Schizosaccharomyces pombe: one gene and its partner. The protein of the gene in region 2 interacts with the protein of the main gene of each other region in a pairwise test. Each region holds a gene or a part of one and is shown on either strand. Other genes may lie near its edges.

Region 1 (7,660 bases), on a different chromosome or scaffold from region 2:
TGAGCCTTTGAAAAATAGAGTCGCCATAAGCGAGAAGTTTAAAGCTTGTAAACGTATCTTTAACAAATTGCGCGACTAAATTCGTAAAACATAAGTAAGGAGTGATAATGCGAACGTGGGTTGGTTGGGAGTTCGCTGCTCCTTTTCCACCTAGTGCTGTTTTGTTTGCCTCTATAACGAATGTGAAGGTTGCAAAGCTAAGGTTTGCATCGGCACTGTTATCGATACGACGAGAAGTGTTGCAGAGAAGGATGCAGCTAGCTGGAGTACATTCAATAGCAGCTTAAATTAATTTTTGTAACGTTAATTAAATTAGCGATTTTTGCTCGTCAAGTAGATTCAAAAAATTTTTAAAAGTCAATTCAACATTTGCAACAGACATCAAGCAATAGCTGAATAGCAAATACTGAGAGATTTTGCTCGTAAATTGTTAAGTGCAGTATTGGAAAGTGTAGGATCAATATCTGCTAGTTTCAGATGAAATTCTAATTTACTATCATGCTTCATTCCTAAAGTGTCTTTTAATGTAGCAAAAACATTTTACTGGATTTACGTTTTGGACAAACGTTTTTTTTTGATAACAGCTTCTTTTCACAGCATGAAGACACACTTTTCGACATCAACAATACAACATACTCTGTGTATTCATTTCGTGCGTATCACTATATGTCCCATGTTTTATTTACTCTACCAACTTAACGTGATAAGTTTTCATGCTAGAGATTTTATTATATAATATGATAAGATAACTAGCTGTTACAATACTAGCAATTCATAGTGTAAACTGAGATGAACTGAATCTCGTTCTCCACTTTAGCTAAGGCTTTTTCAGTAAAGATAAAGCATACATTTCAAATATTAGAATACCTTTTATTCAGTTGCTACTGTGTTATTTACATATTGCAATATATAGATCACAAGGAAAACTTACCGTAGGTTCATGTATTGTTATAATATATACTGGTTAGCTACGCAGTTTGATATCTGTTTTAACGATATATAGAACTGCGGTGAGTTTTTACTTGCGATCTACAATGTAGCGGTATGCGGTATGTTAACTAACAATGTATATTTATTGTTATAAGAAGTCTGTTAGTATCGGTCACCGATATAGCTCATAACTGAATTGAGGAACGAGGTTCAGTTGTAGCTCTATTTATAATCTTTCTAATAGTTGTTATCAACGGATATCTATGATCTGATGTTGAACATGTGACATATAGTGATACGCAACGTAGTATGTCATATCGTAGTGCAGTATTGCTGACAATACCATATTATGTGGTTGACTTCTAAAGTAGTTTAGCAGATTGAAGTAAATATTCCAAATGTTGTATTATGGTACACCGTATTTCTTTCTGCATGTTGACAATGCTTCCTAATTCATCTGATAATTTTCCTATACAATATCTGATGTAGACATCGAATTTTGCTTGACGATACCCATGACAAAGACAAGAGCCTTCTTTCATAAACTTCTTAATTATTTGATTTGAGAGTTCAAAGTCTGCTCTAGCATTGCTTAATCAACGAGTAGCAACATCTATAGAATTTGAGATTCACAATTCAGTACTCAAAATATGCTCCAAAAGAGAAGGTAAAAACCAAACAGCAATAATAAAGAAGGAACCTACAAAACCCCGGATTCCCATGTTGTCTCCAACCATAGTACTAACGAGGCCCTCAGACGCTTAACTGCAGTGATCGGACGGGAACTGGTGTTTTCGCCTAGGTATGGCCGTAGACATCTAGTGAAGAATTTTTGAATATTTATACTACAAAAAAAAAGACCAATATAATTCTAAGTACTTTTAGGATCGCTGAGAATCCATCGCTTATTCCATAAATACAATAATGTAAGCAAGCAATGTGTTTTAATCCAATGACATTTACTATCACAGATCATCTTGAAAGCTGAATGATTGTCTACCTTTTTAAGTTTGACATTTTCAATTCATTACAAATTACAATAAAATCAAAACGCTTGTATTGTGTGTGCATGCACCTTGTTACAAGTGAGCGAGCTAAATTAGCTACAGTGAAGATGAGTACTCGTTCTTATACGATTAAAACACTATGTCTTGAACCAAATCCATTAACATATAATTAACTCAATTTAAACGAAAGTGGCCAACTAGTTGAAAGTCAGCAAATAATAACTATCGTGAAAAGCATCAAATAACACTAAGCCTATCGGTAAAAGAAACATTAACATGTCGGTATGCAAAAAAATTTTTGGCTTAGTGTATTTTCCGCTTCGAGATGCAGTCATAAACACAAAGGTTGAATTTGTGCCTACCCAGTCCAAAAAAAAATACATATCCGTTGAACCAGGACTTAACATATAAAACCATATATCTTTCACAATTGAAGAACAAAGAAGCAAACATAGAATAAATAAAGACAACTCTAAAATCTTTTCATCTTTAAAGAAAACCATGTATCCATAAAGCCATCAACTGAGAATTCGTTACATGTTCTAATCGTATTTAACGTAACAAACGAGAAAAGCTAATGATAGCACTAAGCTATCTGTCTAAAACTTAAGCTCCTTAGGTTGTTCCCAAGGCTTGGATTGATCAGTGAAGTGACCGTAAGAAGCGGTGGAAAGATAGAAAGGAGTTTGAAGCTTAAGGCTTTTGACCAAAACACCAGGACGAAGGTCAAAGTTCTTGCGGATAATTTCAACAAGCTCAGCAGATGTCTTGGAAGAAGTGCCGTAAGTATTGACAAAAATAGAAAGGGGCTCAGCAACACCAATAGCATAGGAGAGTTGGACAAGGCAGCGGCGAGCCAAACCAGCAGCAACCAAAGATTTGGCAATCCAACGAGCAGCATAGGCGGCAGAACGATCGACCTTGGAGTAGTCTTTACCAGAGAAGGCACCACCACCGTGAGCACCCCAGCCACCATAGGTATCAACAATAATCTTACGACCAGTGAGACCAGCATCACCTTGAGGACCACCAACAACGAAACGACCAGAAGGTTGGATGTGGTAAACAGTCTTCTCATCTAACAAATGAGCAGGGACAGTAGGCTTAATGATCTTCTCCAAAATTTCAGAACGCAAGTCTTCAGTAGAGATGCTATCAGCGTGTTGAGCAGAGACGACGATGGTATCTACACGACGGGGGATGACAGCACCGTTTTCCTCTTCATATTCAATAGTGACTTGAGTCTTGGTATCAGGACGCAACCATGGAAGAGATCCATCACGACGAGCGACAGACATGGCAGCATTGAGTTTGTGAGCAAGGAGAATGGTCAAAGGTAACTTCTCGGGGGTCTCATCAGTTGCATAGCCAAACATAATACCCTGGTCACCAGCACCGAGCTCTTCCAAAGCCTTCTCATAGTGAAGACCTTGAGCGATATCAGGAGATTGTTGCTCGATGGCGACGAGGACGTTGCAAGTCTTGTAATCGAAACCCTTCTCAGAGTCATCATAACCGATGCTCTTAATGGTATTACGAATAACCTTTTGGTAGTCAATTTGTGAGCGAGTAGTAATTTCACCAAAAACCATTACCATACCGGTTTTGGAAGCGGTCTCACATGCTACCTTGGAAAAGGGGTCATCCTTCAAACAAGCATCCAAAATAGCGTCAGATATTTGGTCGCAAATTTTGTCAGGATGACCTTCACCGACAGATTCAGAAGTAAACAAAAAAGTTTGAGCCATTGGGGAATCCAAGATACTTGTAAAGGAAATATGGAATCAAAAAACTAGAAAAGATTGAACAATAAGACAAGCGATTAGTTTCGTCAAATATAAGGAAACAATGAAAACCCTTCTTTATCAATGAATCTAATAAATGTAGATATGCTTGCGAATTTCGTCAAAAGAAGCTCTCAAGGTTTCGTAAAGCAAGTAAGGTTATTCTTTAGCCTTATATGCTGATTATAGTTGTGACTGCTTATCAGGATGGTAGCGCCATTTTTTCAATTTCTTGAGCAATTTTAGAATAGTGATATCTGGTAGAGACAAATTGTTCTGCGCAATTGTTATTTAAAAGCAGGGGTAATAGTATGTTAAATTTTTTATAGTGCTAGACTGTAATGAATTAAAAAAATAAGGAAAGCACGAAAAAGTGTATTTCGTATTTTGATAAATCGCTGTATTTTCAATTTGAAGTAAAAGTAGAAGGGTCTTTGACTGTCAATTTATTTTTACAATTATGTTTACGATTGATGAACTATATACTGCAAATTTAGTAGATATTTAAAGAAGCTTGAATATATAATAAACCCAGCTGTCCCCTTAGATATTGGCTGGACTTGGGCATTGAGTGTGCTAATGCAATGTGCATCTTATAAGTATTTATGCAGATTGAAGGATGTTTTTCTTTTCTTCATTCTTATGTTTTTTAATTGCAAAAACTGGCTCTTCCAAACTTTCATATCTTTGACCAATTATTTGGTCTGCAATTAAATGGGCAATGACTTAGCGCTAGGTCCGTATTGGCAATAAAAAATTTTCGTAATGACGATTTAAGAAAATACATCTTTCTACAGTCTCAGAAACTTGAATTTATCTTTTTTATTTATTTTATTCGAAATGTAATGTAGCATTTTTATAAACTGTAGTAGGTTGACTGGTAGTACAAGCAAAAAATTGGGCGCACCTTAAGTTGTCCTTTGCCAACTGCACCCTACTCAACACCATGAGCGAAAGTCTTACTAGAATCGCCATTGTTAGTGAGGATAAGTGTAGACCAAAGGTAAGAAAATAAAAAAATTAAAGGAGCTTTATTAGTAGAAGGTTATAGTCTACTCGTTGTGGATGACTGGAGCTTTTTTGTGTGTGCACAAAGTTTTCCACGAAAAGAGTTGAGTCAAATTTTGTTTGTTCAAGTATTAAAACATATTTTAACTGCCCTGATTGTACCTCTGTTCAGATTTTTTGATCCTGTTACGATCTGCCAAGCACTTTCGGACTAGTAGTAAATTTTTGCTTGGCTTGGCTGTCACCATATGTTGGTTAAACGAATCTAAAGGTTCTTGTAAGGTAAAGGACCGAAAATTTAAATAAACTTTCAAAGTGGTCTGTGTCACGTTAAAATACGTTTTATTGCTTGCTTACGAAACTTTCCTTTGCTTTTAATGCTTCTGGTTTTAGAATGTTTGGTTTTTATTAGTTTGCTCACCAATATTTTAGAAATGTCGGCAAGAATGCCGCCGGTCTTGCCCTGTCGTGCGCACCGGTAAATTGTGTATTGAAGTTAATCCTACCGATCGCATTGCATTTATTAGTGAAACATTATGTATTGGTTGTGGTATCTGTGTCAAAAAATGTCCATTCGGAGCTATCAACATTATTAATTTGCCCACTAACTTGGAAAGTGAAGTAACCCATCGTTACTCTGCTAATTCTTTCAAGCTTCATCGTTTGCCTACTCCTCGTCCTGGTCAAGTTTTGGGCTTAGTTGGTACTAACGGTATTGGAAAGTCTACTGCGTTAAAGATCCTATCCGGAAAAATGAAGCCTAATTTAGGTCGTTATGATAATCCTCCTGACTGGGCTGAAGTTGTCAAATACTTCCGTGGTAGTGAACTTCAAAACTTTTTCACCAAAGTTGTTGAAGATAACATTAAGGCTCTTATCAAACCTCAATACGTTGATCATATCCCACGGGCGATTAAAACTGGTGACAAAACTGTATCTGGTTTAATTAAAGCTCGTGCAAACAACAATAATTTTGAAGAAGTTATGGATCACACCGATCTTCAAAATCTTTTAAATCGTGAGGTTGGCCATCTTTCTGGTGGTGAGCTTCAACGATTTGCTATTGCTGCCGTAGCCACTCAAAAAGCTGACGTTTACATGTTTGACGAGCCTTCGTCTTATTTGGATATTAAACAACGTCTCAAAGCTGGTCGTGTAATCCGCAGCTTGTTGGCTACTACCAACTATGTGATTGTTGTTGAACACGATCTTTCCGTCCTTGATTATCTCTCCGATTTCGTTTGTGTATTATACGGCGTCCCCTCTATGTATGGTGTTGTCACTCTCCCCTATTCTGTTCGTGAAGGTATTAATATTTTCCTTGACGGTCATATTCCTACCGAGAATTTGAGATTCCGTTCTGAGGCATTGACATTCCGTCTTGCTGACGCATCTGATGAAATTACCGCTGACAGAACTGCGGAGTACAATTATCCCGATCATGTCATTGAGCAAGGTGATTTCAAGCTTACAATTAAGTCTGGTGGTTTTTCTGATGCTGAGATTATTGTATTGCTTGGTGAGAATGGTACTGGTAAAACTACATTCTGCAAGTGGATGGCTAAGAACTCGGATTTGAAGATTAGCATGAAGCCCCAAACAATCGCACCTAAATTTCAAGGTACCGTTCGTATGCTGTTTTTGAAAAAGATTCGTGCTGCTTTCTTGAATGGCAAGTTTCAGAGTGAAGTTTGCAAGCCTCTTAGCATTGACAACATCATTGATCAAGAGGTATTGAACTTGTCTGGTGGTGAATTGCAACGTGTTGCCATTTGCTTAGCTTTGGGTATGCCTGCTGATGTGTACTTAATTGACGAGCCTTCTGCTTATCTTGATTCAGAGCAGCGTATTATTGCTTCCAAGGTTATTAGGAGATTTATTGTCAACTCACGCAAGACTGCTTTTATCGTTGAACACGATTTTATCATGGCTACTTATTTGGCTGACCGTGTCATCCTTTTCGAGGGACAACCTTCTCGTGATGCTAGATGTAATCCTCCTCAATCACTTCTTACTGGTATGAACACTTTCTTGAAGAACTTGGATGTTACATTCCGTCGTGATCCTAATACCTTGAGACCACGTATCAACAAGTTCGACAGTCAAATGGATCAAGAGCAAAAGAATGCAGGAAATTATTTTTTCCTTGAAAATTAATGTTTAATGGCTATACTGGGGTTCTATTATGTTTACTTGCCTTGTTTCCATAATTGTATACTCAAAATTGGTTTTGGTTGTAAAAAAGCTTTGTTTGGAGGCGGCCTTCTTTGAGAAAAAAAGTTCTTGTCTATTTCATATAATTATGCTTAAGGTAATTGGGCACTTGTTTTAGAATTTATTTGGTATTTGGGAATTGTTGTATGAAATATTAGTTGAAATACAATAAATTCTCAGAGTGTGAACGTCTCTTTAATTTACACTATATATAATTGTTTGTGTTTTAAGCTAATTTCAACTTGGTCGTATAAATTCTCACGTTTTGAAAAGTATGTGTAAGATTTAACGAGAACAAATTCCCTTGAATGTATTGTAAAGCTATATTTGATAATGTGGCGTTGAGTTCTATATAAGCTAGTTTTCCGTGTTTTCTAAATAATAAAACAAATTGGAGTGTTTTTTTCAAAACATCCATTGTTAGACCTCCTGGTTATGTTATTTTCACCATTTTCTAACATACTTGAAATTTCATGAAAAGTATCAACGTTACTTCTCGTTAAGCTGGGACGAGTTTTGCCATACAAGAAGACAACTAGTTGCCAACACCTAAACATAAGCCCTTAGAGTAATCAAAGGCAAAGTGGTAATAGTCGTCGCCTTGAGGAATTCCTTCAGCGTATTTACTGTCCACTTGACTTGAATGCAATACAATGAACGCAGATGATGAAATTTGCCGGGTGTGCCGGTGTGAGGGAGCACCAGATTCACCTCTCT
Region 2 (7,520 bases):
AATCATTGAAACGTTTATCCTCTGAGCAACAGGTTAGTTTTACTTAATGGTTTTTATATTCATCGTTATTGCTTTGTCTAACAGTACTGTATAGAATTTGCAACACGAACAGATACTTCAATGGAAGTCAGACTTCTTAAATGTCAGTAAAGATCACCTTAAGGTACTTCAACAGTTAAGGCCTCTTATTGACATTGTTGAGAAGTTTATGAATGTATATTTTAAAGGATTGTCCAACATTATTAGCAGTTTTGCTTTTATAGGCTTCACGCTGTTCGCTACCTTAAGCAGTTTATTTTTCAAAGTTTTAAAAATACATCGCCGACCGATTATTGTATTCGGCTCCTTATCAATAATCTTTATTCATATTTACTGCTTTAAGATTACCTCATGGGTGAATCTTTACGGATGGATCACTTGCACTATTGCGCGAACTCTCTCGTTTATTAAATTAAATATCCGTACTTTCTATCTGACAGCATTTTTATGTGCTTTATTAAATTTTCTGCGATATCTAAAATACCGAAATTCCAAAAAAGATACGGAGCTATCTCTTTTCCTTCCAGCACCAGAGGAGTGCAATATATATCATAATGAACATATTCAAGTTCAAGAAGACAATTATCTATGCCCAATAGAAAACTCGTTAATCGACCTCTTTGGCTCTGAAAATAATAAGGAAAAACTGGGCAAACAGGAAAATGTTAGGTTTGCTTTCCTGAATAGTGAAAGTTTGGAGCAATCTCCATGGTGGGATTAGTCATCTTTCTAATTCGAATTAATAAATTCTACATCTTAAGAATCTTTTTTACTCGTTTTCATTCACATGACATCAAAGCGTGATGTGAACGAGCATTTCGACTTAGAGCAATTACCGATACCTGTATGATATGGTAGAAAATTTTAGGCGCATAAAAAATGTCAACGTGTATGACTATGTTTGAGTTAAAACAATTGAAGATTAATCCCTATGAAATACAAAACTCCTTGTTCATTATTTCCTAAAGTGGTGAACTATTACTATCAATATTTAGAGGACATTAAGTCATTTTCATGAACAATCATGCGATACATAAATCTGAACACCTGTTCCATCACCTTCTTCAACATCAATTTATTCAACTAATTGAAATGGATTAAACTTACTAAAAATATCTTATATTCAAACTTTTTGCAAATCGTTCTCTCTGTCATCACCTTAGCAAAAACCTTATTATACTAAGTAAGAAAATAACCGAAAAAGTCGAAGGCAAATAATTTTCTTCTTAATTGAAGTGGTACTAAAGGTTTTTGTGATCCAAACGATTATAATATGTTACGTAACGTTGACAAAAACAGTAGTTTACGAAATGGTTTATCTAGATTCTTCAGTGAATGTGAAATACTAGCTTAACGCCTGTCGTCAATTGCTTGACCATTTATCCCGTTTGTTCATTCATGCTACACACATGAGGACATAACGTAATTATAGCGGTTAGAACTCGCAAAATTCCTACATATATATACTACCCGTCTAGTTCATATTTTTTCCAAGGCTTTTATTTATCAACTAAAAAGATTTTAATTTGAAAATGGATTATCATATTGCGATTCTGAACGCAGATACACCAATGGTAGAAATCACCAGCGCATACGGTGATTATGCAGATATGGTTAAATCGTTGCTTCAATCAGGTTCCGAATATTATTCTACAGAATGGAACTTAGTTACCAAAACTTACGAGGTATATAAGAATCCAAACGATTATCCTCAAAAAGAAGATTTTCCAAATATAAACGCAATCATTATAACCGGCTCCAAAGCATCTGCAACAAGCGACGCTCCTTGGATAAAGAAATTGATAAGCTTTGTGAAAGACGTTTTATTTAAATACCCACATATTAAAATTGTAGGTCTCTGTTTTGGTCATCAAATCGTTGCCAAAGCTGCCGGCGTTCCTATTATTCAAAATCCTAAAGGATGGGAAGTTTCTTCTACTGTTGTTCAACTTACTGAAAACGGGGAGAAGTTCTTTGGTAGAAAAGTCATCAATATTAACCAAATGCATCAAGACATGGCAGTTGATGTTCCCGAAGGGTTTGAGCTATTGGGTTCTACTGAAGATTGTGAATTTCAAATATTTTACAAGCCTCGACAGGCACTAACATTTCAAGGACATCCAGAGTTTAGCACAGAAGTTGTCAATACGATGGTAAAAGTTCTCCGCGGAACTGAAGTATTTACCGAACAGCAAAAAGAAGAAGCATTGAAACGCTCAGAAAATCCAGCCGACAATGACTTCCTCGCGGTATCAATTGTTAAATTTCTTTTGGAATAAGTTAAATCTGTTATGACAAGAGTGTTTGCTTATAATGTTTCTACACTTCTTCCCTACATTACTTATTAACGCTTTAATGACTTTCACTAGATATCTTCCACTAAATGTCTAATGATATATCAGTTTAAATCAATTAAAAACTTAAACGATTATATACTTTATTGTATATTTGCATGACAAAAATTGCAATAGCAAAATGACCGTCGGCTTTAGAAAGACAGTCACGTGCAGACCTATTTATTTGTAAACTGAAAACCATTACAGTAAATTAACCAAACTCCAAATATGTTTAAACCGTCAACTTATTAGTTTTGGTAAGTAAAAAGAAAAAGTTTAATTTTACTTTAATGATGATACACTGTCTCATGCACCACTCTCAGACATTTATTTGTCAGTGAAGAGGAACAGACCCTTTATTTCTGAAAGTAAAAATTGTTCAAAAAACGAATATTATTTTTAATTTTATAAATTAAAATTTTACTAACATTTTCATCAGTTCTTTGCAATTTTGCTTACTTGTGATTATTACTTTTAAGCATCACATGGCTCTATAATTAGATAGAATAAAGCACGGTTTTAAAGCATCACTCAATGTTTTTATTATTTTAAACATAACGTCAAGCGATAAATTTTTTGATTATGTCGTAAACAAATGAGTAGTAATTTCGAAAAGGAAATTTAACAATTATAATACTAGCTGACAAACTTTTTCACAAAGTTCATCTGCCGCTTGTTTTGTGCTGGCCTCAGCGTAAACTCGTACAACGTCTTCTGTTCCAGATGCTCTAACAAATGATCTTCCCTTTTCGTACTTTGCAACAAGTGCGTCAATTTTCTCTTGTAATCCATCTGGGCTCACAAGTCTTCGTTCAGCATCTGTACTTTTATATATTGTGCGATCGGAAACTTTAACCTTAGCTAGTTTGTTAGGCAAGTCCTTATAAGTATTGCTCCATGCACTAGCATCCCAATGTAATGCATTAAGTACCGAAATCGTAGCAAGAAGATCACTAATTGCATCACCTATAGCTTGGTTGATCAAAACGGAATAGCTTTGTAATTGCTCTATAGCAGCCGCTTGAACTGGTGAAGGTGTAAAGAAAGGATGTGCTAAGTTAGCAAGCGCCTTGTCGCTGAACAAAACAGTACCATGGCCATTTGCCTCGAAGTAGACACCAATATCAAACTCTTTGGCTGCTTTATGAAGATGTTTAACACCAGTGGGAGTGAAGACAGTAGTAATGCCCAAATCTTGAAGATACTCAGTTGAAGCGCCATTGGCGTACGCGGTTTGGACAACGCCTAAAGAAAAAGGCATACCGGACTTTTTAACCAATATGTTCAAGTAGCCAACGAGAGCAGTACTAATTTTGTCTCCATCAAGAAGATGAAATTTCCTATTTTGATTTATGTAATAGAAGATCAGTCGATCGGCATCACCATCAATGGAAGCGTAGAGTTGATTTGGCTTAATTTTTCCTTCAAGGGCAAGCGGAGGGGACTGTTTCGTCTTTACAAAGTCTGCTCCACAGCCATTGTTAAGTAACTCACTGGCCCGAACATCTGTGTTAACGAGTTCTATAGAAAGGCTGTCCTTAACAAGGCCCGCTACTGTTTTTAAGGGTTGCGATCCTACACCATTTGCACAGTCTACTACAACGCGAGAAACCGTAGGGCTATCCTGCATTGAAGGATCTATTTTAGAAAAGGCTGACGTTAATGTATCATAATACTCAGTAATGGGTGGCCCTTCTTCAAGAAAAGAAGCTGCGGTAGATTTGTTTATCAACCTCACCAGCCAATGCAACTGTGGTGTTGTAATATACCCATAATCTATGTAGCTTGCAGACATTTCATCCAAGCATACCTTCAGTAACTCAGCGAGTCTGGGTGAGGAGGGTCTGGTATCATAACCTATAATAACTTTGGGCTGGCAGGTAGTAGGAGTCAAAAATTGCTTGATTAAAAAATCAAATTCTGCCTTGGAAGGGGCGTTCGCAAGTTGTGTGCATTTATCCTCCCATTCCATAGCGAGCATACCGCCATCGGCGTCAATGATCTTCACACCATTATCTTCCACAGGATTATGAGAAGCAGTAATCATTACTATTTATTATTATTAATCAAATATTTCTACTTGACTACACATACCGCCAATAGTTTTCCCTTTTAGCTCCATGCTACGCAAAGCTGCTGCAACTCCAGAACTATAAACAGCTGCTTCCAAATCACTAGCTCTTTGATCAAGTTAATGAAAGCTGCATTATATTAACTTACTTTGTTCGAAAACCAGCAGTTCCATATGAATATTTTTTGTTCTTGGTCATTGTGTTAGTTGCTGTTAGTAAATAAAGAAGCGAGTTTGTCACGCAATAAGTAAATTCAGTCGAAAATAACAACTCAGCCTCTCTGCATTTCGCTTCTGCAGATTGATAGATTTTAAATTATTTGATAGCAATTCGTTTAAAACCTCGAACGTGTTTTGGAGCTAAAAGTACTCTGCACAATTTTATATCCTCTCGTTTTCTTCCAATGTTTACATAAAGCCCATCATAGTAATGTTTTTATTTCAAATTAGGAACCGCTGTTTCTAATACAATTTTTAAGATTTGGCTCAGATTAATCAATTGCGGTTTGCCTAAAGAATAAACGTAAATGTTTACACTTTAAGATTTTATGCTAAACTCAACTAAGATTGTTTTTAATCCCAGTTTTAAAAATTTGTTTATGTTGTTTTGATAAAAATAGTTGATAGCTTATTAATTGTAAGGAAACTACGTATCGAAAAGCTATTAAATAAAACAGTTTTAATTGACTTTCAATGAGCTGAATGGACAAGTAACCTTTTTAATATAGTTTTACGGATTTCTCTATATTGTCTTTATAGTCGCATTAGCATGTTCTGTAGAATTTTTGGGCAACAAACATGTCAACAATAGTTTGGATTTCTCACTTCCTGTACTAGTTAGAATACACTTAAGTATTTCGACTAAGTGAACAGACTTACATTTCCTAAGTTTGTAATAGCAATTACTCATTCTAAATTCACAAGCACATAAATATCTTGTATTAAGCGAGAAGAGCAATAGAGCGTTTCAACACATTGTTTAAATTGCGGTTTAAACAGCATACATGCTAATAACAAGATTTTAAAACACATCTGGACAATTTGCAAGATCTTATTATGCCAATAAATTACGAAATACACCAATTACAATATACTGATTCGAGAATCACATAAAAATTTTTTTGAAGCCTGTATACTAAAGCAATTCAAACTTATATAATAAAAAGGCTTTCACATTCCATTCAGAAACGTAAGTAAAAATTAACGGGATAAATAATATCATAAAACACAGCAAAAAGCTTGATCTCCCAAGCTCACAACAAGGTAAACAAATTATCTCTAGTTTCTGAGTCTAATTTAAAATATCCTTGCAGTCTTGTTGACCAAATGAACTAGCTGCTGCAACACAACAACAATCCAAATTTGTTCAGAAAATTTTGTGAATACAACTCTATAAAAGACAACATAAATCGATGAAAACGGACTCATTAATCTTTGCGGTATGCCTATTCAAAAAAAAAAACTTCTCAATTCATTGAACCGTTGTAGTTGTAAGTAAAAAGCATGTCAAAAGATCATTCTATACGTAAGGAATATGGTTGAAATGAATGCAACGCACTGTGTCGCATGAAACGGGTTCAGATGATTTGAGGGCCCTGATATACAATGTGCTTTCTTCCTGAAATCTTTGGATTTGAAAACATCCCAAAGTTAAGTCGGACTCGGAATTTTCTAAGTAAGCAGATGTTGAATTGACAACTTTCTCAATATCCGTTGATTGCAAAGTTGGAATGCATTTACTGCCTACTACATCCATACATAAAGAAATATCTTCAAATTCGTACGCAACATTCTGCATGCACAACTTTTCACCACTAATAAAAGTCACTAAATATAATTAGCCAATTGGAATGGATGTATCATCAACGTACTCATATAATCGTAAAGTTTAATCCACCAGGAATTTGAAACATGTTCAGTTACAGATCCAAAAAATGTAACAGGTTTCTGCCCTTGACAGTTAGAATCTAAGACGTTTCCGTACTTAGGAACATTCCATTCACTATTTTCTGCATAATTGACTACACCGGCCAAACCGGGAGTGATAAGTATGAAAAGTGTCAAAATGAATCGGGAAATGACAACAAAACCCTTCATAAGTGTTGTTTTCACTCAAAACTTAAAAACTTGCACTCAAATGTTGAAAGAAAGCATGGCTAATTCCGTTGTTTTTATATTGCTTCCGTTAGAGAAATAACTTTAGGATTAAACCTAACCGAGCCGGCAATGCCGCTTACAACGATGATATAAACATTACGCTAAATACTCATTATATGATAAACAATGCAGAGAGAATCTTAAAAAGTCCAGGTAAACCCATAACAATCAATCGAAACTCCAAAGTAATTTTGATTAATTCTTTCACGGTACAAAAAACGTTCAAAAACACAGAATGTACTTCTGCAAGAAATCGGATATAACCAACCAATACAATAAGGTTATGTGATTTAAATCAGTTTTCCAACATTAACCTTACTTTCATGAAAGGCAATATTGCTTTATGACCTAAATTTAAAGAATCCGAAGTTGCGTATTGTAGCTTCACATTTGCAGCACCAAATTTAATATAGCGGATTTTTCAAATGGCTTAGAAGTTTACCAATGGCAGTATTGGTACATAAAATAGATTTTGGTCAAATTTATTTTTGGAGCACAAAGTAATGTAAGAAACATCACATTCACTAATTTAAATCTTTGTTTTAGTAGTTACACGGCTTTAAGGTCCTCGCATTATCGGTAGGTTTTGATTTCAACGGACCAAAAAACTTTCCGTCTACCGATCCCTTCTTGGTTCAAAGAAGGATATAGCCCAAGTTAGAAAACTTTTGCCATCAACCTAAGGAAACAAGTAACATGCGTCATATGTAACAGCAAAAATCCAAAAGAAGAAACCTTCCTAGTAGGCTATGAGTGTACTTTTATCTTCTCAATCATGTTGGCATAGGTCAAATAAGTTGACCAGAATAATTGTTTAAAACCCCATACAAAAATCGTGAGATTTCTTTCGCCAGCGCTTTGTAGGAAAGTAGTAGCAATTTGAACGATATATTCACAAGACTTTTAAAGTATTGTAT

Evidence for each region. Proteins that work in one complex are often made in the same cells at the same time.
Region 1: the proteins of SPOM_SPAC13C5.05C (region 2) and sam1 interact in a two-hybrid assay, tested with the Schizosaccharomyces pombe proteins (one large-scale study listed by BioGRID).

Annotation. Positions count from the first base shown.
Region 1 is NC_003423.3:4,159,992-4,167,651, forward strand, and holds sam1 (S-adenosylmethionine synthetase), read right to left. Parts: upstream 3,868-7,660; 5' UTR 3,686-3,867; coding exon 2,537-3,685; 3' UTR 2,078-2,536; downstream 1-2,077. Other genes in the region: Fe-sulfur ATPase Rli1, read left to right, coding at 4,668-4,724, 5,162-6,886; ubiquitin ligase Doa10, read left to right, coding at 7,597-7,660. UniProt on the Schizosaccharomyces pombe protein: Catalyzes the formation of S-adenosylmethionine from methionine and ATP. The reaction comprises two steps that are both catalyzed by the same enzyme: formation of S-adenosylmethionine (AdoMet) and triphosphate, and subsequent hydrolysis of the triphosphate.
Region 2 is NC_003424.3:428,559-436,078, forward strand, and holds SPOM_SPAC13C5.05C (N-acetylglucosamine-phosphate mutase), read right to left. Parts: upstream 4,662-7,520; 5' UTR 4,646-4,661; coding exon 4,596-4,645; exon of another isoform or gene 4,556-4,595; coding exon 4,470-4,555; exon of another isoform or gene 4,425-4,469; coding exon 3,004-4,424; 3' UTR 2,809-3,003; downstream 1-2,808. Other genes in the region: nuclear membrane protein Tht1, read left to right, coding at 1-32, 95-760; SPOM_SPAC13C5.04 (amidotransferase), read left to right, coding at 1,572-2,318; protein mug121, read right to left, coding at 5,966-6,273, 6,318-6,543. UniProt on the Schizosaccharomyces pombe protein: Catalyzes the conversion of GlcNAc-6-P into GlcNAc-1-P during the synthesis of uridine diphosphate/UDP-GlcNAc, which is a biosynthetic precursor of chitin and also supplies the amino sugars for N-linked oligosaccharides of glycoproteins.